Styela clava: one gene and its partners. The protein of the gene in region 2 interacts with the protein of the main gene of each other region in a biochemical or structural test. Links are inferred from orthologs where the notes say so. Each region holds a gene or a part of one and is shown on either strand. Other genes may lie near its edges. The genes, in order: methylosome subunit pICln-like, protein arginine N-methyltransferase 5-like and serine/threonine-protein kinase RIO1-like.

Region 1 (7,901 bases), on a different chromosome or scaffold from region 2:
ATTTGCGTAAAGGGAAAGGTCCATTTCTTAAATATAGCATATGGTAATAATTAATATTTATTCCAGGACACAAAAAATTCACGCTATGAGTTTTTGATTTCTTTTAACATCTCAATGTTTGCACGTCTATCCAAATTTTTAGTCACTCTGTCAATGCCTGATAGACCTTGCTTCGCCTTTGAGCAAATTTTATTTTTACAAAAACAGCACAGGACACACGTAGTAAGACAATTCGAAGTGGTCTAAATTCCAAACAATGCGAAATGTTAAACTCCCCACCAATAGAACAGTATTTTTCATGTGACTATTCACCGCGCAAAAAAGTTAGTTAGGATAGGATAGGATAGGATTTACATATTTATCCCGGGGGAGAGGAAAGCCGATAAGACGGCTTATCCATATGGCGAACCACGGCCTCTCGTCCGGTTACCATTCCAAGTCGGGTATGGGATTATTTATATATTGTTTGTTTCCGGAAGCATGGACTTGGTGGTGGAGGAAGCCGTAACCGACCAGCGGTTACGTGAACCACCCAACGACGGCGAGGAGTCCAGCAATCCTCTCGCACATAACCATCCCTGCATGGGATTCGAACCTGCGAACCCACGCAGAGTAATTAGAGGTGCGGTGGCGAGCGTATTCCTAACGCTTAGCCCGTTGAGCCACACCGCCGCGCCGTTAAGATTGTTAAGTAGTTAAGATTGCAACCTGTCTCTTGTTGGTGACTTTGAACTTTGCCTCCCGGTAGACGATGACTTCGGTACATATTTACTTGTTGATGAGGACGACCATGATGTGTAAGGACGTCGATCCATCTCGTAAAGTTCGGTAGGGATAAATCCTCACAGGGCGAACAGAAGATTCCTCGATGTTGCGAAGACAGATGCAATTTGCAAAAAACAAAATGATGTGAATAATTCGTTGCCATCTTTTACGCTTGAATTTTATGATGATTCAGATTTCCATTAAAAAATATTTTCAAATATGATGAGGCTTCAATATATGTAAAAAAAATAATGCACACTTTCACCAAAAATCACTAAGAATATGTGCCTATTTTAAAGTTTTCGAAATTAATTAATTGAAAAAATTAGTAATAGCTGATAAAATGTGGCAACATTTTAGACCAATTATTTTGCAGCTTACTAGCGACATCTGGAGGATGTATTTTATATTAAATAAACTGGTGGTGAATGGAGTCTATTTTACCACAACTGTGTTTTTAAATATGATTTTAATCCTTTTCTAATAAAACGTAAAGATATAATGGAAGTCTACAATTAGGAAAAAAATTGTCATCAAATAAATAAGCAGATATTTAAACTCACAATCGAGAGTTTATGAGACGGGGAGAGAGAGAGAGGGATAGTTTAGAGTCAGATTAATTGAACTCGACACCGGATAGGTTTATTTTAATTACTGCAGTATTTTTTTCTCGATTTCTGATATGCCTGTAAGCCTCACAAAAGTTTTAAATTATTGTTACATTATATCCTATGTAAGTTTAACCAATTTCAAAACTGAAGAAGTTTTTTAGAAATTTACAAGGAAATATTTGAAAATAGTAACTCCGTCCACATTTTTCAAAAGAGAGTGCGCAACATGTGGATTTCGCACGCACTTCGTTTCGTGGACGTTCTGCAATCTCAAAAATCGAGATCTTAGTTCTGGGTTTGTTGTTTTTCAACTTTTTGACAAATTGTAGCGCAGTTTTGCACTTGAAACATGCCTGCATTGCAAAAGAGAAAGCAGAAAAAGCTCTCCTTGTTTTCTAAATTGAAAACGAACATTGAATACTTGTGGGACTTTGCATTTAAACTTCTGACGGATCCGGCGTACACATGGAAATTATGCTGTCTTCTCATTATTGGAGAAATCATTTTAAATATACTGGTTGTACACTTTGTGAAATACACAGAAATTGACTGGGTTGCGTATATGCAGGAGGTCGAGGGCTTCATCAACGGAACACGGGATTATACGGAACTAAAAGGAGACACCGGGCCGCTTGTTTACCCCGCTGCTTTTGTTTACATATACTCTGCTCTTTATTACCTAACATCACAAGGAACAAACATAAAAGTAGCACAGTATATTTTCTGTTTGTTTTATGTTATTAATTTAGCTCTTGTGGTTAGGATTTACGAAAAAACTAGGCAATGTCCTCCCTATGTTTTTATTTTTATGTGTATGACTTCTTACAGAATTCATTCAATTTTTGTGTTGAGGCTTTTCAATGACCCAGTGGCTATGATGATATTTTATGCCTCAGTGAATTTATTTCTGTCAAAACAATGGAGTATAGGTTGCATATTTTACAGTCTCGCCGTCGGGGTAAAAATGAACATTTTTCTTTTTGCACCTGCATTGTTGGTGATCCTATTAATCGAAAATGGAATTTTAAAAACAATTGGACATTTATTTGTATGTTTACTCACCCAAATAGTTATAGCGATTCCATTTTTACTTGAAAATTCAGTCGGCTACGTTAAAAAATCTTTCGAGTTCAGTCGTCAGTTTTTCTATATTTGGACTGTAAATTGGAGGCTCGTACCGGAGGAAATATTTCTAAACAAGCAATTCCAGTTATGCCTGCTCTTGTTACATTTATCAATTCTTGTGCTGTTTGCAATATTTAAATGGAGAAACGGAATCAAGCAATTGTTTTCCTTAATTAATCCTTTCACGAACTGGGAAGCTAATTTGCCAAAAATATCTCCAACAAAAATGGTTCAGATTTTATTTGTGAGCAATTTCATCGGTATGTGCTTTAGTCGATCATTACATTACCAGTTCTATGTTTGGTATTATCATACTTTACCCTTTTTATTATGGAATATAAAAATTCACTCGACAGCTAGATTGCTAATATTTGGTCTAATTGAACTTAGTTGGAATACTTATCCTTCCACAGTGTTTAGTTCTTCTCTCCTTCATGTAATGCATTTATTGATGCTTATAGGTTTGTTCCTAAGTCCTGATGAGATTAATTCAAAGTCTAAAAAAACATAGAGCAATGGTTCTCAAACGTTTCAGCCCCGTTCCCCTTTCTAGAATTTGTCAAGTCTCGCACCCCAACACAAAAAATATCACGGAAGCTAGCAATAAGCTACAAATAACAGATAGTAAAGCAAAAGTATGTAAAGTAAAGTATTTATTCAAAAAAACATGTTCAAAATAAGACTGGCACTATCACATCTATTTTTGATTAGCTTTTATGCCCTCTCATAAAATTGTCTATACCCCTTGTGGGGCGCGCTCCACCTTCTGGGAATCACTGTCATAGAGATAGTTCCTAAACTGAAGTTCTAATAGCACCCTTATATATTGCTTTTTGGCTTGTAAATGCACATTGAAATCTCATTGTACTACAGGCGATTAGTGTCTGTACATACAGTGTTTTCCTGGAAATAAGAAGACAGGGGCGTATTTCAATTTTCCTCCAAAATTAACACTTGGGCTTATTTTTGGTGGTTTTGGTATTTTTCATTTATCAATAAGGGGAGGGCTTATAATAAAATTTCAAAATGTAAATTTTTTAAAATCAGGCTAGGTCTTATTTTCGATAAAACACAGTGATTACACTAAGACTATAGGATCACCTCAAGAGTGGATCAAACTCTAAAAAGCAATTAGCCAAGTAAATATATCAAACACATTTTCCTGGTTGATAGACCAGATATCCTTTTCCACTGGTGTGGATTTCATGTTGTCTCCGCATTATCCAGGATACAAAAAAAATCCTGTTGACACTAAAGACTCCCATTCAAATTAATATCTTTTAAGAGTCCTTGTTCAGGAATTTTAGGTCTATTTCCTTGTTATAATATGTGATTTATTATCGTCACTCAAGTACAAATTGTTTGAAATTTTTAGGGGATGTAACTTGAGCTAGTTTCATTTAGTATTAATGAAATATTTTCCTTCTACTTGTGTGTGTGTAATGCAATCATTTGAACCTTGCTATAATTTATTTTTTTAATGCAGTTGTATCTAATGCCTAATAGTCATTTTTAATGAGTTGGAAAATTTTTTGTACTTTTTCTATAATTATATGTTGGATTGCATGGAGAAATATTCTATAAAAATGCCATTGCATGTTGCATGGACTGTTTGACATTTATACTATCCTTTAATAAAGCTGATGTTATGCTTTGCTGGTGTACCCTGTGCTAATTGCTTGTATTCTACTAAATGCATTTGTGATCTTGGTCAAGTCCATGCATCTGGAAGAAAATCTAGTTAATTATTTTCATACCCGGCCTGAAATGATAACTAGATGAGCGAGTTTGCTTTGCCATATGATTAAGCCCTTTTTCACTTTCCACCCGCCCCCAGTATAAAATGTTATAAAAACCTCTCCTAGTAGCAAAAAACTTTGATGAGAATCGTGGTATAATGTATTTTGAATAAAATCTATTATTTGAATCATAGTTTATGCCAGATACAAAATGTTGCCTCGAGTTGTCACGCCTGATACAGGAATTCAACATACGGAACAAAATTGCAGAATCAACATAAACTCTGATGACAGAGGAAGTGGAACGTTGTATATTTCAGAAGAAAGATTGATCTGGGAGAATCAGGAGCATCGTGGACTGTCACTCGGTTATAAAGATATCGCAATACATGCCGTCTCTAAAGATTTACAGGTATTCAGTTGTACGCTTGGTATTCAATGAACTGTGGTTGCCATGGTTACCCCGCCTGCCTGTCTAGAGTTGTTTTCTTCCATTAACAAGAGTGACACTGGGGTAATGGGTCACCTAAATGTATCTTCAGAGTCTGAATTCCTTATAGGTGACGGTGCTTGATAACCATCACTGGTTATTGTGCTCCCTGCATACTGAAATTCATTTTTTTATCTGTCATAGTTATAATGTACAATGTGTACTTTCGACATGTGATAAAATAAACTACTGACTGACTGTATAATAGCTGTCATATCTTTAGAATATTTTATACCTTGGCTGTGAGAAAGTCCACAGACAACTAGTTGATCAGATATAAGGTTTGGCACGGTTTATGACAACCAAGACTGCGGCGTCTGAGAAATCCACAATTGCCAGTGACTAGTCGATTCTAGATTAAATGCGACTCTGGGTTAATAAAAATTTAGACCTTAGGCTTCAGCTACGAACTCTGTGAAACAGGACTACTAATCAATACAATTTGCGGAATTCGTCTTTCAGGTGTAATGTAATCATGTTATAATTTGGCTTTGTACATTTCTGCCATCATACTACTGGGTGTTAAAAAAGTAACGCAAAATAAACAGAAGTTTGGATGAAATGCTACTTGGTACGTTTAACGACTGATATCTTTCAAAAGTATTGAATTATGGTGAAATGCCATTTAAACATTTCACGTCTGATGCTTTTTAACAGTTACTTTTTTAACGCTGCCATGCCGAAAAATCTTTTTTAACACCCTGTATTTTCCATACCTTGAAGGTTATGGTTTTAGATATAATTTATTCAGTGTATAATCTTGTGATTTTCCAGGCATTTCCTGAAGAATGTCTTTACGTAATGTTCAATGGTGAGATTTGTGAACCGGTTGTCAATGGCAACGGACAGACAGAAGAGTACGATTGTGCAGATAACGAGTTTGCTGCTGACACAAGTGGTACAATATCAGAGATCAGATTTATACCAGTATGTAAAGACAATTTAAAACGAATGTTCGATGCAATGAGCGACTGCCAATGTCTCCATCCGGACAGTGAGGATAGCGATGACTATTATGGAGGAGATGGTGACAGTGAGGAGCAAAACTATGAAGGGGCTATGTACCCCCCTACTGTTTACAATGGCGGTGCGGGGGAAGGATTTTATACTTCTGAAGAAGGCTTACAACATTTAACGCCTGCAGGGCAAGCAACATTAGCAAGACTAGAGAATATGTTAGCAGATTCACAAATTTCTGAACCTGAGGGGATTTCCCAAATGGAAGGGGTTCAGATTGAGGAGGAGGGCCCCATGAACACTGATGAGCCTCCTGTGGTAGGAAGGCCCCCTGTTGTCGATGACAACCCGCAGCAAGGTGCCCCTATTCTTCCTTCAGTGGAAGGACAATTTGATGATGCCGAAGACACTCATTGATCTGCTCAATGCCAGGTTTCTGATGTCTGTCGTGGTTGCGGAGCAGGAAAAGTTTACAATCAACGCTGCGGGTTGAAAAAATAACAATTTTCTCTAAGATTGTAAATAATTTTGACTCCAGTTTCTAACTTGGAGAAAAATTAATATTAATTGGTATTATGCAAGTCTCCTCCAATAGATACTCAATAGACCTAATACTCTTGGATTTTAATGGAAAAATTTGACTTATCATCGTCATTGAGTGGGTAAAATTACAGGGAAAACATCCCAAGCTCTGACCTCCTACTCTGCAGCTTAGGTTATTACCACCAAGACTGAGTTGAGAACAATTGCATATCTTATTTGTTACTTGGTTCAATTAAGACAGGGGTTTTATTAATTAAACCTTTGTTCTCTCATTTACTTTTTTCACAAATTTCGAAGTTAAAATTTACCTCTTCACGACTCCACTCTTTATGGATGTTCATGGAGTCCCTTTACAATTTTAATTTTGGTATGAAGTCAGTTCTTAACCAGGTTTGTTGTTTTTTTTTATCAGTCAATTTTCAAGTATTTTTACTTCATTTAATAATACATGGGCCGGAACAATATGTGGTATTGATAAATTCCCTTCCAACTTCGAAAGTCTTTAAAACTTGATGGACACCCCATACTTCTACACATATCTATAAGGACTCAATTTTAAAGTAAATAGTGCACATAGGCTTTTTGAATTGAATGTGTTCACATTACTATATTTCAATCGTATATCAATTTAACCCTCCTGTATTAATAAAGGTTGCAAACACCTAGTTTAACACTCTGATTCAAATATATCAATCAAAATCTAAAATATCAAACAACTCAGCAATCTTTGTGATTGAAACAACACCTGATGTTTTTAATTGCTTAATCGTGATCCGCATGTTTATCACGTCTCCCTTCACACTGAAATGCATTTTTGTTCTTAATTATGTTTGTACAATGTGTACTTTCGGCATGTAATAAAATGAACAAGACTGATATATTCCTTTCCCATCTCATTTACCTTTATTATATTCTTTTCTAAGCAATAAACTTTTTCCACTGCATGTCGTGTCACTCACAGTGGTGGTTAGAGATAACCGTCCCCGAACAAACTTAAAAAAAGTTCAGCTTAGTTGTTTCCGCATTATTACTTATCGATAAGTATGTTGATAGATATTTGTCTGTCTGTCTGTTAGATGCATGCGATATCTCACAAAAGCAAAGTTGAATCTGCTCCAAATTTTGCATGTGCATTCATCATATCTCAGACCAGAAGCCTATTGATTTTGGACGAATTATGTCGTATAATTAGCGAGTTTTAATAATTAATTAGTGATGAGACACGAGGTGTCACTATGGAGTAAGAGCGCTGTTTCGGGGGATCCCCTAACTATCCATGGATACTGTCTTACGTCTCTGACCGATATTCTCGTTTCAAGACTTAGGAATACACTTGTGATCTCACTCCCTTTGGATGAATTTCGTATTCATGCTTGCTGCTGTGAATAAATATAAATCACATTGACAATAAAACTGAAGGTTTGATTAATCCATATTACGGTATTTTGCCATTACGGTTCGAGCAGTTGTTATCCAGGTTCCATTTCAGGCATTGGTCCTCAAATTGCGGGGGGGGGGGGATAATTTGATGGGGCGTGAAGCTTATGAAAAATTATGTTCAATTCACATATTTTTATAACAAAACTATTGCTATCTGTTATTGGTTGCTTATTGTTAGCTAGTTATCTTCGAGGTGGGCCGTGAAACTTGATAGTCTAAAAAGGGGACAGC
Region 2 (8,485 bases):
ACATTTCCAAACTACCATTTTGTGAATATTTCCTAATAAAATAATAGCAAACATTTGTCAGTTTTTGTTCAGTTACTGATGTCGCCAAGAATTATGTATTGGCAAATTTTTTCCATTTGTTAATGTTTTGCAGCCATTCTGGGGACGCACGCAGTAAACGCAGGCGGGTTTTATAATCATCTCTGCTTTTTTCTACCACAACCTTTCTTAGAATCTCGCAAAACAACGGGAACGAAAAAATGTTTACAACAATGCCTGCATATCTGTCTGAGCGATTGAATAAATTACAATAGTTTCGTCATTGTTAACTCGTTGCTGATTTGTCATTGTTAAGGAAATAAACAAAGAAATTGATTCTGTGAAAACATCCTTTGTACTGAAAATCATTCAATTTCAGATAATATGAAACACAAGTTTATCATTATTTTTTACAATTAGGACACCAAAGTCTAAAGTGCTTAGGTCCTGTACTGTACTGCCCATCTCCATTAGGTCACGAAATCTTATGTCATGTCCTTGCTGAGCAACATCCTAAAAATTTTGAGTGTAAAAATTCAATGAAGCTGAGAATCTAATGTCATTAAATTTGACACTGCCTTCAAATATTTATCTTAAAACTCACAACACCTAAAGATGGATTAACATGGTAGGAAGATACTCTTTGTACAGTTTCCCCACACACTTGAGACAAATTTAACCATATGTTAGAAATGAATTTTCTAATATCAAACAAGTGAACATAAATGAGGAACATGCTTTCCACTTTAATCATAATGCATTTCATAAAATATCGATGGTCCATGCATCCTTGTATATGGCAAGTGATTGGATTTGGGAACATAAATTATGGATTTGGGAACATAAATTAAAACAGCAATGATTGAATGTTTATATGGAGACCATGTAATTATATAATCCAAAATAATAATAGTATAGAGAGACCCATTTTAAACAGGCATGAAAACATAACTTTTACATGTTTAGAATTAATCATTCAGTCATTGGATAATAATAAGCATGCTTCAGCATCACAGTCATTTTCAAGAAATGAATTTTTAGAAAATTTTACATCATAGCCCGATGGTATAAGATCTACCATTTGGGTTGTGTATTTGACTTGCTTGTGGAGAAGTGACACACCATTCATACCAAACCTTTTTTCCATTGGAACAACGCCAAAAATCAGTCTGTAATGTACAACCTTCGGTAAGAGGGATTGGATTCATCAAGGGAACGAAAATTGGAAACCAACTGAACATTCCCGGTGAATGTGTTTTCGGTTCGATACTGATTTCAACATCTTTGTACAATGCGCATCTGAAATAACCACCAAATCCATGCAGCATAGTGTCAAAAGGAATTGTGCAAGAAAATTGTTGATATCTTGTGTTGTGACTATTTGTTGGCATTGTCGGAGTTGATTTGATTTGATTGTTAGCTTTAGTTGGATCAATGTGATTGTGTTGACTATCTTGAATCTGATTAACTTCAGTTTTCCCATTCGTTTCCATGTCCTCTTTATCCTTTACATCTTTTTTGCTGAACTTCTTGTCCCAAACTTCTGCGGAAACGTCGGCATGGAACTCTGGTTTAGGATTTTGACTATCCAAATCCCAGTTTGGATGATTGAATGTGAACAACGGAACTGGTTCAGTAAGTTCATGATAATTATGAATACGAACCACATACAAAGTTTCAAAAGCAGCTTCGGGTGTCTTATTTTTATCCAGACCCATCACACCTTTTATCTCATTGTAAAGTTTATGAGATGAGATAGGAGATATGTAAGATGTGTATGACTGCGGGATACTGACTGCATCTGGTTTTAGGAAGCGATTTGCCCCGTCTAAGCACTCCGGTGACAATTCATTGTCACCCAATGATCCTAGCAACTCTGAAACAACAATATCAGCTAGCTCAGGAGCCTTCCAAAACCTCATATCAGATGAAACTACAGTGACATCATAGTCTTTCCACTCTGTCGTGCACAGATGTTGCAAAAGTACAGCAGCATTTCTGTTTTTTTCTACTGCATAAAGACGAACTTTTCTTTGAGCTCTTTTAGCACCTCTGAGTGACATTCTAACGAGAGGGCCGCGACCCGCACCAAGCACCATGATAACAGCTGTTTGCTGTTCTTTTGCGGAATCAGGAATTTGGTCAAGCAAGCAACGATAAACTGCTTCCTCATACTTTTTATATTTGATAGGATCTCTTTCAAAGATTTCATAGGTTGACGATTCCAAATTATCCATGAGAGGCTGGAGTGGTGCTTGCAAATGATCTTCATAACCTTTTGAAAATTTTTCATATTCTCCTAGATTTTGAGCACCTTGGAATAAATGATCCAAGTATTGATGATACACTAGGATTCCTTCTGCATTATTCAAGTTAGGACCAGACAATACAATTTGACAATTCAACTTCATGAGATTTTTAACAAATTGCTGATGAGCACGGGACAAAACAGGAAATCCTTTTTGATTCATCAGAAAAACAGAAGTTGGAATATAAACCACACGAATAGGTTCACCTTGCCATCTTTCCAACTGACTCGGTAAGTCTGCAGTTAATTCCAATGCTAATCCGATTCTACTGTGATGGCTGCATAAGGTTCGAAATTTATTCCACCAGTGCCATGTATCCTCCTCACAATTTCTGGAGTGTAAAGGGACTTTAACCCATATGTGGACATTATGATGACCTTCATATAAAAAGGTGTTTATCATTCTGGCAATATTTGAACAATTTTTGCTCTTGATTTCAACAATAATCGCAGGTAAGCTCAAAAAAGCAACAAAATGAAGCTCTTGTTTCACAGCTTCTTCCGCACAAATACGCTTCTCTGTTACAACAGATGTCAAATCAGGAAAATAAGAAAGTTTGCCAACGACAAGGGAAGCCCATTCTTGTGAATTGAATAAAAATGATGTGTCTGTAACACCACCAAGTTTATTACATAGATTCGCTGTTTCAAATGGTGTGCAGCCTTGTCTGACAACATTCGCACATATAAAGTCATAGCCATTTCTACTAGAATTCTCAATAGATTCTTCAAGATCTTCAGTAAATTCAATATCTAGTCCGCAAGATACACGGTTTCTTGAGGCCATCTTAGGTTATAGTAAGCTATAATTTTAAGTAGTTATATTATTGATTTTGGTCCTAAAATTTAAATAGTAAAGCACACTTTTACCAAATCTCTAAAAACTTGTTTTTTCTTTAATGCCAACGACTACCAAACACATATATGGTCACACAGGATTAAAAATGATGAAACATGACTACCAGTATGTTTTGTTCAGTTTTCAACGGCATAAAAGGATGATTTACATAAGGTTAAGGAGGACTCCAGAGTAGATACGATCAAAATTATTAAAATATTTTTTTGTACCGTTTCAATTTGAGGCATGATACTGACATATAAACAATTATCCGCAACAATTATACACTTTGAAAAAATAATCTAATTCGCTGATTGAAAAAAATTTTACCGAAGCATTTGAGTTTTTAGCTGAAAAACATAATTTTGGTCACCAGACGTCCAAGTCATGATTGATTTAAATTATTACCGAGAGAATCTTGGCGTGATGTAACTGTTTTAGAGCCAAAAGGGAGTGCTTGTTATATTGAACCAAATGTTGGGACATCTTGGAATCGAAGAACTGTGCCCTAATGATGACTGGATGGTATAAAAGTAAAGTCGAATCATGTGAAATTTCAGATATTTAAATACTGATTGAATCGAAAGACCAGAAAAGGCAGCAAGAACAATAGCAGAATAGACTATGTGTGTGTCATAAGATAAATTGTTATAATGTTTTCTTATTCCTGTATTCTGTTTAAAATGAAGTCTGAAGGAAGGCTACGATGACATTTATGCCAAAATAATTCGCACACTTTCCACACACAGACACACATGTAGGCTACGGTAGCTAACTTGTTTCTAATTCTCATATTTAATATATCAGTAGAAATTTGAAGTCAGGAGTTCATTAATTATAAACTAACGTGGAATCATACTACCATAGCATCCATAAATGCGTATTACATTGTTTGTCTAATAAAAAAAAAGAAAAGAATGCGGATCGAGCAGGGCGGGAACTAATCCTTATGGATGTTTGGAATTATACTACAGTACCATAGTCAAAAGGTTTTGAACAATAATTTACAAGCAAGTTGCCAAGATTAAACCCTCACACAGATCGAGACTATTACATGCTTCCAGTTAGCAAATCAACATGAAGTAAATACAAACATAAACTCCACCCCACCTGCTATCAAAGAAAATATCCCCGCATGCACCAGCAAAGTGCACAATCCACATGCTACTAGTGCGGTGGTGTATGGAGTGGAAATCTAGAGTCCGAACGTAATTCGATTTAAGTACACCTGCATATATGAAATTTACGTATATGCCTTTATGTGGTGATTACCACCGTAATATAAGTAAATTCAAGTTTGAATGGAATAGCTAAATCTTAACACATAATGTCTTATTTTCCTTATTATTTTCCAATTCTTACAAAATTATTAACATGGTGTGGCAAATTATTTTTTTTTAATTTGTTTGTATATTATTCTTTTTATTAGGTAATATCTTTTATGTTTCAATTTTTATTTTAAACCTTAGGATTTACATCCTGAAGGATCCTATTTTAAACCTTACTTAAGTTTTTTTTGCTCTCCTGATTCTGTAATCAGTTTTATTTACTTAGTTTTTATCAACAATTTTATTGTCTATTGTGCTGATCATGGAATCGAAATAAACTATTCCACGTAATAGTCTACGACTACGGTATGTGTAAATGTTAGTTCTTCATGCGTTTATATTCTCATTTTTGAGGAAATTGCAGTTGATTTTATTCAGCGATCCCGTCGGGCCGTGGTTCTCATAGTGCGTCGTTTCAATTTTGCTAGGGCGTCCCAAAACTTTTTTCTTTTGCGGAATCGTACCTGTTTTGCGGTGCGTAAAAAAGTTTGAAAACGTCTAAATATCGCTGTAGAAATGTACGAGCGTAAAAATGATACCGAACAAGAAGTATGATGAAAGCTACTTGGACTTTGGATCGTTCAAGTTTCGAGTAAAAAAGCGCTGTGGTTTTTGTTGCAACTGGGGATGCGATGTACTTACTACATGCCGTTCAGGCTTATTAGGTAACCGGTTTCACTGGCTGAAATCTTGCTACAACAACATATTACGGCTTTTGTTCGCCATTTTGTGAACGGAATCGATATAAAAAGAAATTTTAATCACGAAAATGTTATGAGTTTTTGGATTTCCCCGGATAAAGATTATCCTTCCTTGCGGATAAAAAAAAGGCATTGCGCACTCTCATCCCCCGCGACTTCATATTCATGTGAAGCAGGCTTTGCTACCATGGCTGTAATAAAGGCAAAATATCGTTCTCGAGAAAACGTTGAAAGGAAAATGCGTATTCACCCCAAGACTCAATGACAATTGTGAAAGGAAGCAAGAACACCCATCACATTAAATGCAATTTCACCGACTTTCGGTAAATTTTGTTTGCTTGTTTAAATAAAGCTCATTACAAAAAGGTCTTTAATTGTATTAAGACGTTTTCACGGGGAGCCGCAACTCGAGCATATTTTTCGGAAGGCGTCACAACACAAAGAAGTTTGAGAACCACTGCGGTTGTAGGCAATCCGTAACTGACGTCCCAAACATAGGCCACATGAAACACTCCACGACAACAGGGGTCTCAGCAATCCTCCCCCACTCAAGATTTGAATCCGCACACATTAAGCACGAGGCATTTTACTCCCATATTTTTTCATTTAAGTTTCTGTGAACTATGAAAACTAACGCAAATTTCTCAAAAACCAGACTGTGTAGTTTACAGACTGTGTCAAAATAATACTGCCGTATCAAAGATACTGATACCTTAAACTTTAATAAGTAAAGCTCAATTAAGTTGATAAAATACAAATTAATGTATAGACTCTCAAGTTTTATTACTTGTTTCAAACTACCAAAGTTCCACAGATAAATTACAATAACTAAATTACATTTACTGGTCACATAAAAATGAACCAGACCTAATAACTACATATGATGAATAATATGCACAATGCAACTAATGTAACAATGATTCTAGGGCTAACTACCAAGCCAGTAAAATGCCAACAATCCACACAAATTCTCATAATTAGCACTACTGGGTATAAACTTGAAACCAGACGATACTTGACAATGAGTGATAATAAGGTCTGTTTTAGATCAGTCGAGAGAAGTTTGTTCATCGAATATAGATAAGCTGACCTGTGCGAAGTGGAAACACTTCTCCGGAATGCAGTTTTAGATTGAAAGAAATATAAGCATTGCACTGCAAGAAAAAAATAAATAAGCAAACTATATTGCGCTACCCCGTCTATATATGCAGCTCAGAAAAGACAGAAGCAGTAGAGATGAGACCTTGCGATGTAATATGCATTGCTTCAAACGAAAATTATGAATTTCATCTTGAATTTAGAACATACACAGTTGCATTGGAATTGGCAAAACCTAAATCTTTGAAAGTTGGGCAGACACAGTTGATGAATTAAGACATCAAAGAAAAACTTGTGCAAAATAATAAAGTTGACTTTCTGTGTATACTATATACATGTACAGTACATTAATTGTAAGACATAAATCAAAAATTTGACAGAGTTTGTACAACGAAAGTGCTTCGATGATATAAAATAAATTGTCAATCCTACATAAATATAGATGATAGGATAAAGTAATCTTGATTAAATAAAAAAAACCAGACAAACTTAAACTATAATCACAATTAGATTTTCAGCCTTACAAAGTGCAATAAACGTTTGTCCGATAAATCCCCAAAAAAGTGTATTCTATATCCATAATATTACATGCAATAACTGTCCATTTGTGATACATTATAGCAAATCTAAGGAAATTTATTGCAGAAACAAACTTTATTTCATTAATATTATCCCAATATAGCAAATTAAGAACATGGTGAAGAAAACAATAAAACCAAATGGAAAATAAAAAAAAAATTATTAGTACCTTGTAATCTAAAACAATAAAATAAACTAGAATAACATATTGAAGAAATTAAAGGTATGAAAGAAAGGTTTGGATAGACATATTCACATAGTAAGACGAGGAACGATTTTGTTTTCACCTTAATCATGTTTTGCAATATTTCTCCGAACGAAAAAAGTTGGAAATCTGTTTAAAATCAGACATATTTCACCTAAAGTGTTGACAGCATAAATGTCTTGAACTGGCACTTCCTTTTACAAGGTATATATGCTTCACTGGTCCTGACAGTATAAAAATAGCCTAAAACTACATGGAATTATTACAATTACATAACAGTATACATAGAAAAAAACTTGTCACTAAAGTACGAAAAATAGTTTATTCAGTTCAGAATTTACTCTCTGAAAGCATGATAATTTTATTAATCAAACTCGAACCATTAAGCATCACTAAAAAATTGATTCGAAAAAAAAAATCCATCTATTCCAATAATTTCATTGAATAACCATTTGAAACCAAAATTTTGGTTGATTAGAGCTCTCCAACTCTAAGAATGGTAGACTGTGGTGGGTAAAAATGTATGTGTAATATTTTGATTTTCGCTCAACCACATCATGTTCAATTTTCATAAACATACTTCTGTACAGATTTACGACATGATTATGAGTATCATGAATAAACAGAGTTCAAAGTAAATGAAAAAAAAAGTTTAAATATTGAGGGCATCAAAATGTTCCAAATTCATTGAATTACTAATAAATAGAACCAAAAAAAGTCGAATTTTAATCTCCTTGGTCAAATCCTATTTGACATATATTGAAATTTTGCCGCCTTTTTAGATCCAATTCCGATATTACAGTTTATTTTATCAACTGAAAGCATCAAAAGCACCTTTTTGAATACACTCATTTAAAAGGAATATTTAATCTCTTTTGATATTGAAAATCAGTGGTGTAACTAACATTAGATATTCATGAAGAACTGTGGAACTGATAAATATGGAATTAGGTAGCACCTAGATGTAGATGATTGCCATCTGTAACTTTCCTATATTCTTTGGATTTCAAAAAGTTTGACATCTGTGTCATACCAGACGGGTGGATCCACATTCCTGAACAAAAAAATTTATAAGAGGATAAAAAAAATTTAATAAAAAGGAGTATTACTAATTATCAGGGAATATTTCCAGTGGAGGGATTGAGGGGGTTAGCGCAAACAGGTTCTCGGAATGTTGCGACAATCACCAACCAGTTCTTGCTTTTTTTTTTGGAGACAGCAGCAAATGTGTAACACGCGCCGCAGCTGACATCTAGTGTTGTACGCAGCGTTTCGAGAGATACGTATTGGATTTTTATAATCATGTCATGTTAAAGTAGCTTCCGTATTGCCATACATTAATAAATATGACATCGCGTAAACACATTTTCGGAATGTTGCAATAATTAGTGAACCAGTTCTCGTTTTTTT
Region 3 (8,523 bases), on a different chromosome or scaffold from region 2:
AATGCAAATGAATTTGAGTATTCTTACTAGGAATGTCCGACACAAATTTAGTCAATAGACAGACCCGATTTACTAATTCTACATTAAAATCTTGATTGAGTTATTCAGTGTTTATCATGATTTTGTTGTGAGATAGAATCAAATAGATTATTTTAGAACTCCATTTTGAGGCAGAATTCCAGAAACGATCTAATTAATAATTATATATGGGAAATCCCCAACTTCTTCCTGGAATAGAAATATTTAAACAGGTAAAATTCACAGCTTGAAGCAAATGCCATATAAAATGTGCGTGCGTAAATTTACGTGCACCTCTCAAAATATTACAAAACTATAAAAATTCAGGAAATATATTATGAAACTACGAGAGCTAAAATCTTGCATTATGTTGAACGTCAAAAGAAAAATTCCATAATTAAATGTACATAAATTCATCACCTCTTTCCCAGTGCTTATTACACCATTGATCTGTTTAATGACGCCACGACTCAGCATTTTGAAAAGTATGATTCGAGTTCTTGGATCCATGACTTGTTCAATAGTTGCTCGATCCGATTTGTCTTTTACTCGATTTCTGAAAATTATTGGTTGCAGTAAATAAACTTGAAAATTGGTATTGGTGAAAATTGGTGATTCAACATAACATTTTGATATTGATTATCCAATATTTGCTAAAAGAAAAAAATCACATACACTGTTATTAAGAATCAAACCAAGTACCACATGACGCCTTACTTCCCAAAAACAATTTTTTTTATTACCTACCATGGCGCATAAAACAAATGATAGAAGCACATTAAATAAAGGTATTTTTATAGAAAAAAGGGCCACATTGTAGTCTTTGAAAGGGGGTCATGATTCATGAAAGCAAAGTTATGTTACAGCATCACCATGGTATTCAATAGTTTTCAACAAAACTCACTATTTCACTGAAAAATTAGTGAATTAATATTAATTAATAATATTAGTTAATAATATTAATTAATGGAATTCCTGAAAATTGATCATTTTGAAAGAACATTAAATTTAAATCTTCCAGGCACCTCCCAGTTCTTTGATTTAAAAGGAATAAGATATGAGAATGAGAGAAAGTTTTTGAATAAATTTACTTGTTTTCAACCATTCTTTTATCCATTTGTCGAACTTGTGCGAGATTATGTTGCGGAATACTAGGATGCTCATATGCATCAAGATGAATCTTGTCAGAAAATTTTGATAACATTTTATCCACAGGCTAAAAAACAACAAGAAGTTTATACTTTGCTGAGCACTCTATTTTATTTCAACTATTGGTTCTAAAGAGGGATGGCCAAAATTCGAAAATTCACTATCCTGAATACATTCTGATATAATATTTTCGAATTTGGAATATTGACGTTAATTGGGTCCTCTACTTTCGAAGTTAATGGATATTCAAATGAGTTTAAATTTGAAAATACAGAAGGGTTAAGATAAACAGTGATTTTAGTGGTTCTACGTTTTTTGTTGTAGAATTCAAAAAATTCAATGTCTTTTTGGTCATACTATAATATTTCAATTGCTCAAAATGATGGGTTTTCAGATAAAACTAACTAGGCCTATAATATTCCCAAAATAAAATTATTATTCTCTAAAAATAAAATTTTAAATATCATTTATTTCAAATTAATTGGAATATTCAATTCGACTTGGACATCGTCAGATTTAAACCAATATAGTTAGAGAAATAACTGAAATTAATAAGCCTGTCCCTCAGACATTCAGTGAATCGCCATTCAAATGATCTCTTCCTGAAGCTATACATGTGCTTGTGGCAAAATAATAAATGATCACATCCTACTTGATAAGATTGGTTGGAGGAATACTTGGCGCCGTTTCCTCTGCAATTTTCTGTATATATTTCATCCATTTCCATATAGTTATCATCACTCCAATTGTCATCATCATCTGCTATGTTTGTATTTGAATCGATACATCCTTCTTGAATAGGATCTTAAAATAAAGCATTACATAAATAGTTAATTGTATAAGAGACGCAATAAAATAATGGGCTTCATACATGGTGACACACCGATATGGTAATTTTCAAACGCGGTTAAAAGACACACATTGAAAATACACAAAAATCCAACAATCTCCAAAATGACATATCTTGACTGCTGATAGACAAACGACAAAATGTTGTTTATGAGAAAGTTCTATACATTACTCAACTGATCTACACAAGAATGATGTAGAGTCGGCTCAAATTGAAATAGTATGTCAAAGAGAGGATAGGATTTACATAATCATCCTGGATTAATCATATGGCAAACCACGGCCGCTCAGCCAGCTACAGGTCCATGTCAGGTAGGTATGGTATTAGTTAGCCAGTCATATTTGTTTCAGATGCATGGACAAAAACATAATGTAAAACAATGTTTTTCAAAGTGCAGTATTATTACTAGTATTATGACAAAAATTGATAAGACTATTCTAGCTATTGCTCATTTTAATTTGATTATAACACATTGTACTCTTGTATGTGAATCAACTTGCTGATTGAAATGTTAAAATTTCTGAATTTGGGGTAGATTACAAAACAGTCATTGAAGAATGTGAATGAAACAGCGAAGGAAAAAAAAACAATAATAGAGTACCGTAATAACAGAAAGATGATGATGAGTAAAAATAGAAATACTGAAATAATAATTGGCGCAGCGGTGTGGCTCAACGGGCTAAGCGTTAGGAATACGCTCGCCACCGCACCTCTAATTACTCTGCGTGGGTTCGCAGGTTCGAATCCCATGCAGGGATGGTTATGTGCGAGAGGATTGCTGGACTCCTCGCCGTCGTTGGGTGGTTCACGTAACCGCTGGTCGGTTACGGCTTCCTCCACCACCAAGTCCATGCTTCCGAAAAAAATAAAATAAAATACATTAAAACTAATCCCATACCCGACTTGGAATGCTAACCGGACGAGAGGCCGTGGTTCGCCATGTGGATAAGCCGTCTTATCGGCTTTCCTCTCCCCCGGGATAAATATGTAAATCCTATCCTATCCTAATAAAAGTTACAATGAAAAATATAGAAAAATTCACTTTACTAGCTTTACGTGATACCAGCGACTTAGATTATGATACTTATTTATTATTATGACTGAATGCAAAAAAGATGAATGAACTTACTAGTTTTTGTCATCATTTGCAAATATTCCTCCGCCTGGTCCAAATCATCAAACTGCCCCTCCATACCGTAATACTGTACTAAAGGGTTGGCCAACAACAACAAGGATTCTTTTCTAAAACAATTTGACGCTGCCTAACTGAATATCAGATGTGTAGAATGAAAACGATCAGAATACAATATAATAGCCTATATACAAATATTGAAATAGCCTGCTGCACCAGCGTTTTTCAGTCGCGTGTTTTCTTTTGCACATGTTGTGCAATATTTAATTCTCTGAAACACCAGACTTTTACTCATACGCAAGATGACAGTAAAGAATCGTGAATTACAAATCACGATTTTTGGTCACTGATGACAAGCGCGCAGTACGAAGTGAAATCTTTTCATCATTTGTTTGTCTCGTGCAGCTAATTTTTGGTTTGGTCTTGGAGGATGGTGTGAATATGTTTTGTTGATATTGATAGCATGATGTTTAAGTTTATTGTGTAATAAAGTATTTTTTGACAAATCGAGAAAGAGAGAGATTTATTTTTGTAGACCCGACACTCACTTGGCCTTGGGTACGTACCAGCTTACAGACTTCGGTTACCTACATCACATTCATACATCTGTACAACACCAAACATAGATATGTAAAAATTTTGTACATTTGGAGTAGGCTTATAACAGTATGTTGCACCACAAAGGTGAAAAAGTCTCTTGTTCAAAAGTGTTTCTGGGAGTTTCGCGCAGCTGCAAATTAAAAAAAAAAGAAATTGGGATCAATTACTATTTACGCAAAATCTATACCGTAGCTAGTCAGTGTTCATCATGCTTTCTCACTGCATCTGGAAACAAATGATTATATTTATTTCAAATAGTTTTCAAGTCTTAATTTACATGAAAATCTAACTTCTGAACTTGCCAACTTATGGCGTTCAAAAACTTGATCAGATTGAAAAATACATTGCTCACTGGATGTCTTCATCAAGTGAATAATACTTGCCTAACAAACACATACAATGGTTTACTGGTGAATCAAAGCCAAGCTGTATTAACCACCTTCTTAACTCAGCCTTCTAAGGACTTCCACTCATCTGCAATTGATTTCAAATGGGAAGGCAGATATCGAAACTTTTATCATGCTGATTTATACATGAAAACAGGAAAAATGTTGGACATAATAGCCAAGAAAAAGAAAAAATCAAGAATGGATGGAAAGCCACAAATAAAAGGCGTTGTTTTAAGACTTTTAATTAAAAAGCCGAAAAAACCAAACAGTGCGAATAGAAAATGTTGCAAAGTACGGTTAAGTACCGGAAAAGAAATCATTGCTTATATACCCGGCGAAGGACATAATTTACAAGAAAATAACGTTGTTCTCATCGAAGGAAAAGGACGTAAGGATTTAGTCGGAGTTCACCATAAAGTTATTAGAGGAGCACTTGATTGTGCTCATGTTGTTAAGAAAGAACAAGACTAATTTTTGCTATAAAATACTCGCAAATACTAAAGTATGACAGACAATTTGAAACAATTGAGCTCCTCACAAAATATGAAAATAAAAATTACCGTAGGATTATATGAGAGCGTTAGATAGCTTGGAATTTATATTTTGTGACAATAAATAATACTTAACAATGGCCTCAAAATGTTTGTAATGGTTTAAATTCTGACATATTTATGAATCTTTCATACTGTAGTAAAGAAATGTTTTACTTAAAAAAATCTCTCGTAAAAGAACAGCTAGCCTATTTAACTCTTAAGGATTTTGTCGTTCAACGTATGTGATGTTCCATTTTCACAAGGCTTTACTAGTCTTAAAGTATATGTTAATAAACTTCTAATGCCGCCAATGTTTTATTCAACTCACAAAGTTTTTTTGTGAGTTGAACAAACTTTGTCTAAATTTTTCAATATAAAGATTTAATAATATAAAACATAATTCCTGCCATTTCACACAAAATCTTTTCATATAGAGCCGTGCAAAAATTCATCACTTTTTCAATTGAATTTTACCGAATAACTTCCTTACCTAAGTTGTGATTGATGCTGTTTTGTTCTATCTATTCTATATGGTTCAAAATGCTCTTTACAATGTCAAAATCTAAAATACAAAGATATGAAATTTGTTGTTTTGAGATTTACTATTTGCAAATGCATTTCAAGTTGGAACTTCTTATTTTTTTTAATAGGAATTACCACATTGCTTTATCTCTATCTTTCTCAATGTATTTTCAATGTTGCAATTCAACACATGCTCCGATACTTCTACCAGACGGTTCGCCAGTCATCGTTGGGAGATCAGCAGAGACTAAAATACCTGATAAATTGTGTTCAAGAAATCAGTTGGAATTGGTTGCAAATTACAATCAAAAGTAGGTAGGAATGTGTTATATTTTTGCTGTTATAGATACTGATATATTTATGTTTTGTGAAATTATTATTGACGTTATTTGAATATACTTTCTTTTGTGTATAAAGAGACTTTTTTATTTGCCAATGTTTATGAAATCTGTATCAGGCCATACAGGTATTTTTGAGGTACCTATAGATTTATATTTGGAATATATGCTTATTTGAAAAATGGTCATTTAGACGGAAACATTTGATTCTAACTTGTTTCAAATATAGATTGTCCGCTATTGTGTTTTCTTGCCCTGTCAAATTGGTTTGTAAAAATATTTCTGTTGAAAATGTGTCAAGTATATGATCAATGTTTATTGAGACTTTATAAGACGTTTTTAAAATATGTTTAATTATTTAAAATGTTGTCTTGAAAACCACTTTTCTAGAGTGATTTTATTGGCATCACTAAATTTGTTATTTTTGAACATTAGATATGTTATGGTCAAGCAACTTGGCAGTAATGCATCTCAGATAGAAGGGATTGATATCGGACATAGAAAAACTGACAGACTTCATGCAGGACAAACGTTACACGTCGTTGATATGAAATATCCTCACAAGATTGCTATATGTATCCCTAATTCAGGTTTCATTTTCTATCATATAGTGAATTTATTATTATTAGAGAGAAATGCACTATTATAAGGACATGAAGGTTTTACCAGTAGCATACGTTGTTCAATAAACTAGATTGCTGAAAATATGGGGTGAGGATGGAATTTTTTTAAATTTAGAAAAATGTTGGGTAAAAGACAGTACCTTGATGAGCGCAAAAAAAGTGTTTACGCAAATAGTAGTAGAATTTTAAATAACTAACGCTGTTTAGGAAATCATAATATTCGATTAATGTAGGTTTTTGATATTGATTTATCCAGAGTTTACCGTGATAATGACGAAAAACAATTCTTGTCCCAAAAACAGTGACCTGTACTCATATCCCAATGTAAATTTATTTCTCCAATAATTTCAAAGAAACCACATCGAAACTCTTATGTTCTATAATATTTATTCAGGAACTACATCTTCCAATACCAAGAAAACAAAACTACCTCAGGAGGAAAACACATTCAGCAAACGACAAAAAATGACTGAAAAAGTAGCGAAAAATATTTCCGATGAAGAAAACGAAACAAATTCAAATAATAAAAATAATTCAGCACAAAAACCTTCCTATCATTGGAGTCAAGGTTTGAAAGGATCAATGGATGATCCTAGTTTGAGAGTTTCCAAAGATGATAAAGTTGTTGTCATCAAAGATAAATATCCAAAGGTATGTTGATGCTAATATTATATTGCGAACTAAAGTCTGAATTCATAATTTGCATATGGTAAAAATCCATTGCAGATTTCTATTCAATACTCTGTCACACTGTGTACAAAATACACAGGGTACTGGAGGCTGCTCCACAAAACTGAAAATTAGCATAAACGCAGAAAACACAGCTAATCTATGAAAAATTGATGAGAAATATATTACAACTTATATAAGCAAGAAAACTTTGTCTGTATACCAATTTTCAAAAGAATTTGCTCAAAGTGAAGTCTAACACACTCGCTCTCGAGATAAAAGTGAATCATCTTTCTGCTGAAACCCCCTCTGAATCATCTTCTCATCGTTGTTAGGAAATTTCCTTGCAGAAATTTTCAACCATGAATTATTTGAACTCTGACAAAATTTAACATATTAACCCAGTTGAATGAGGAGTTTTGAGAGGAATTTATGGGTGTGTTTTTGAGTGGTGGAATTTTACAGACACTCTCTCATCATAGCTCATATTGAAACTTATATATATAATTCGACTTATAATTAAAACATTGTCTCTAAACCAAGTTTAATCCTAAATATTCAATACATCATGACTTGATTTTGTGTCTATGATGTCATTTTCAGGTTTTCACTACTGTTTCATACATTTTCTAATATTTAATTAATCACAATGCTGTATCCATATCGTCATGGTAACTTGTATCATTACCCATTGATGCCGTGTCACTGACGTTTTTATATTGTGAGCTGCCCATTCTTTCGTTCTGCAAGGACCCTGAAATTCGAATGGTTTGTCAATTATACATTGCAATACAGAAGAATAAAAGAATAAATAAATGTTGATATATAAGTTTCCAACCTTTTTTTTCAAGCGACCCAAATTTTCAAAAAAATAGATTTAGTAAAATCTCGCGACTCAAGTATAATATGTTCAAATACAGACAGACTAGTATTTATATGTTTAATTTTTGTATCTTTTATTAACATTTTTATTGTATATACTCACCTATTTCTAATTCTATTCCAATTTGATCAATATTGTCTGAGTCAAAAACTGATCCACATTCACTGGAAGCATTCGATGTATTCTTTTCATTAGCAATATTTTCCAAAATGTTTTCATCTTCATTGGGACTTCTGTTTGTATTTGGAAAACCATCTTCGCAATCTTCTGTGCTTTTGTTCTCTTGGTTCAGAGGAGACATTTCTTGCATTTCAACATCTTCCGTCTCTTTTGTGATTTCTGATTCAAGCCTGCTTCCTCTTTTTCTGTATAAATAATAAATGAGATGCATAATGGCTATATTCACATGAAAATTTTAGTATCTAGAACAGACATGTGCAGATTACGACTCGCGGGTCAAATCCGGCCAACTGGGTAATTCAATCTGGCCCGCCTGATGCTGCCACAACTTAACTGGAACCAAATTTTGATGATTTAGTTAAAAATAGGTCAAGGGATTTGTTAAGATTGCGGATAAATTTTGGCACGTGGTTCATTGTTTTCCACTGTTGCTTTTGTAACACTGTGAACATTGTTCATAAAATGTAACTCTTTACGTCATACTTACATGGCCCGCCAGTCTCGGTGGGCAAAATTTTTGTTCCCTGATCTAAAAATCGTGCCCACCTCGATCTAGAATGTCCGTTTTTCCGCCAATAGTAACATTTTAGTCTTTTCTCTTCATTTACAAAGCATAATGACACTATGCTTTATTTTT

What was found.
Region 1: the proteins of protein arginine N-methyltransferase 5-like (region 2) and methylosome subunit pICln-like form a complex in vitro, tested with the Homo sapiens proteins (5 studies listed by BioGRID and IntAct, with this or other methods). The link is inferred for Styela clava from reciprocal best matches to the Homo sapiens genes PRMT5 and CLNS1A.
Region 3: the proteins of protein arginine N-methyltransferase 5-like (region 2) and serine/threonine-protein kinase RIO1-like are reported together in a solved structure, tested with the Homo sapiens proteins (2 studies listed by BioGRID, with this or other methods). The link is inferred for Styela clava from reciprocal best matches to the Homo sapiens genes PRMT5 and RIOK1.

What each region holds. Positions count from the first base shown.
Region 1 is NC_135259.1:18,959,446-18,967,346, reverse strand, and holds methylosome subunit pICln-like, read left to right. Parts: upstream 1-4,451; coding exon 4,452-4,652; intron 4,653-5,504; coding exon 5,505-6,104; 3' UTR 6,105-7,167; downstream 7,168-7,901. Other genes in the region: uncharacterized protein LOC120337104, read right to left, coding at 709-815; dol-P-Man:Man(5)GlcNAc(2)-PP-Dol alpha-1,3-mannosyltransferase-like, read left to right, coding at 1,726-3,012. UniProt on the Homo sapiens protein: Involved in both the assembly of spliceosomal snRNPs and the methylation of Sm proteins.
Region 2 is NC_135260.1:10,097,364-10,105,848, forward strand, and holds protein arginine N-methyltransferase 5-like, read right to left. Parts: upstream 3,190-8,485; 5' UTR 3,114-3,189; coding exon 1,071-3,113; 3' UTR 705-1,070; downstream 1-704. Other genes in the region: protein HID1-like, read right to left, coding at 8,066-8,129. UniProt on the Homo sapiens protein: Arginine methyltransferase that can both catalyze the formation of omega-N monomethylarginine (MMA) and symmetrical dimethylarginine (sDMA), with a preference for the formation of MMA.
Region 3 is NC_135264.1:11,771,029-11,779,551, reverse strand, and holds the start of serine/threonine-protein kinase RIO1-like, read right to left. Parts: upstream 3,405-8,523; 5' UTR 3,211-3,404; coding exon 3,147-3,210; intron 1,972-3,146; coding exon 1,820-1,971; intron 1,235-1,819; coding exon 1,110-1,234; intron 575-1,109; coding exon 439-574; intron 1-438. Other genes in the region: small ribosomal subunit protein uS12-like, read left to right, coding at 4,058-4,609; uncharacterized protein LOC120333828, read right to left, coding at 7,468-7,577, 7,809-8,071; aprataxin-like, read left to right, coding at 5,176-5,504, 5,967-6,121, 6,549-6,805. UniProt on the Homo sapiens protein: Involved in the final steps of cytoplasmic maturation of the 40S ribosomal subunit. Involved in processing of 18S-E pre-rRNA to the mature 18S rRNA. Required for the recycling of NOB1 and PNO1 from the late 40S precursor.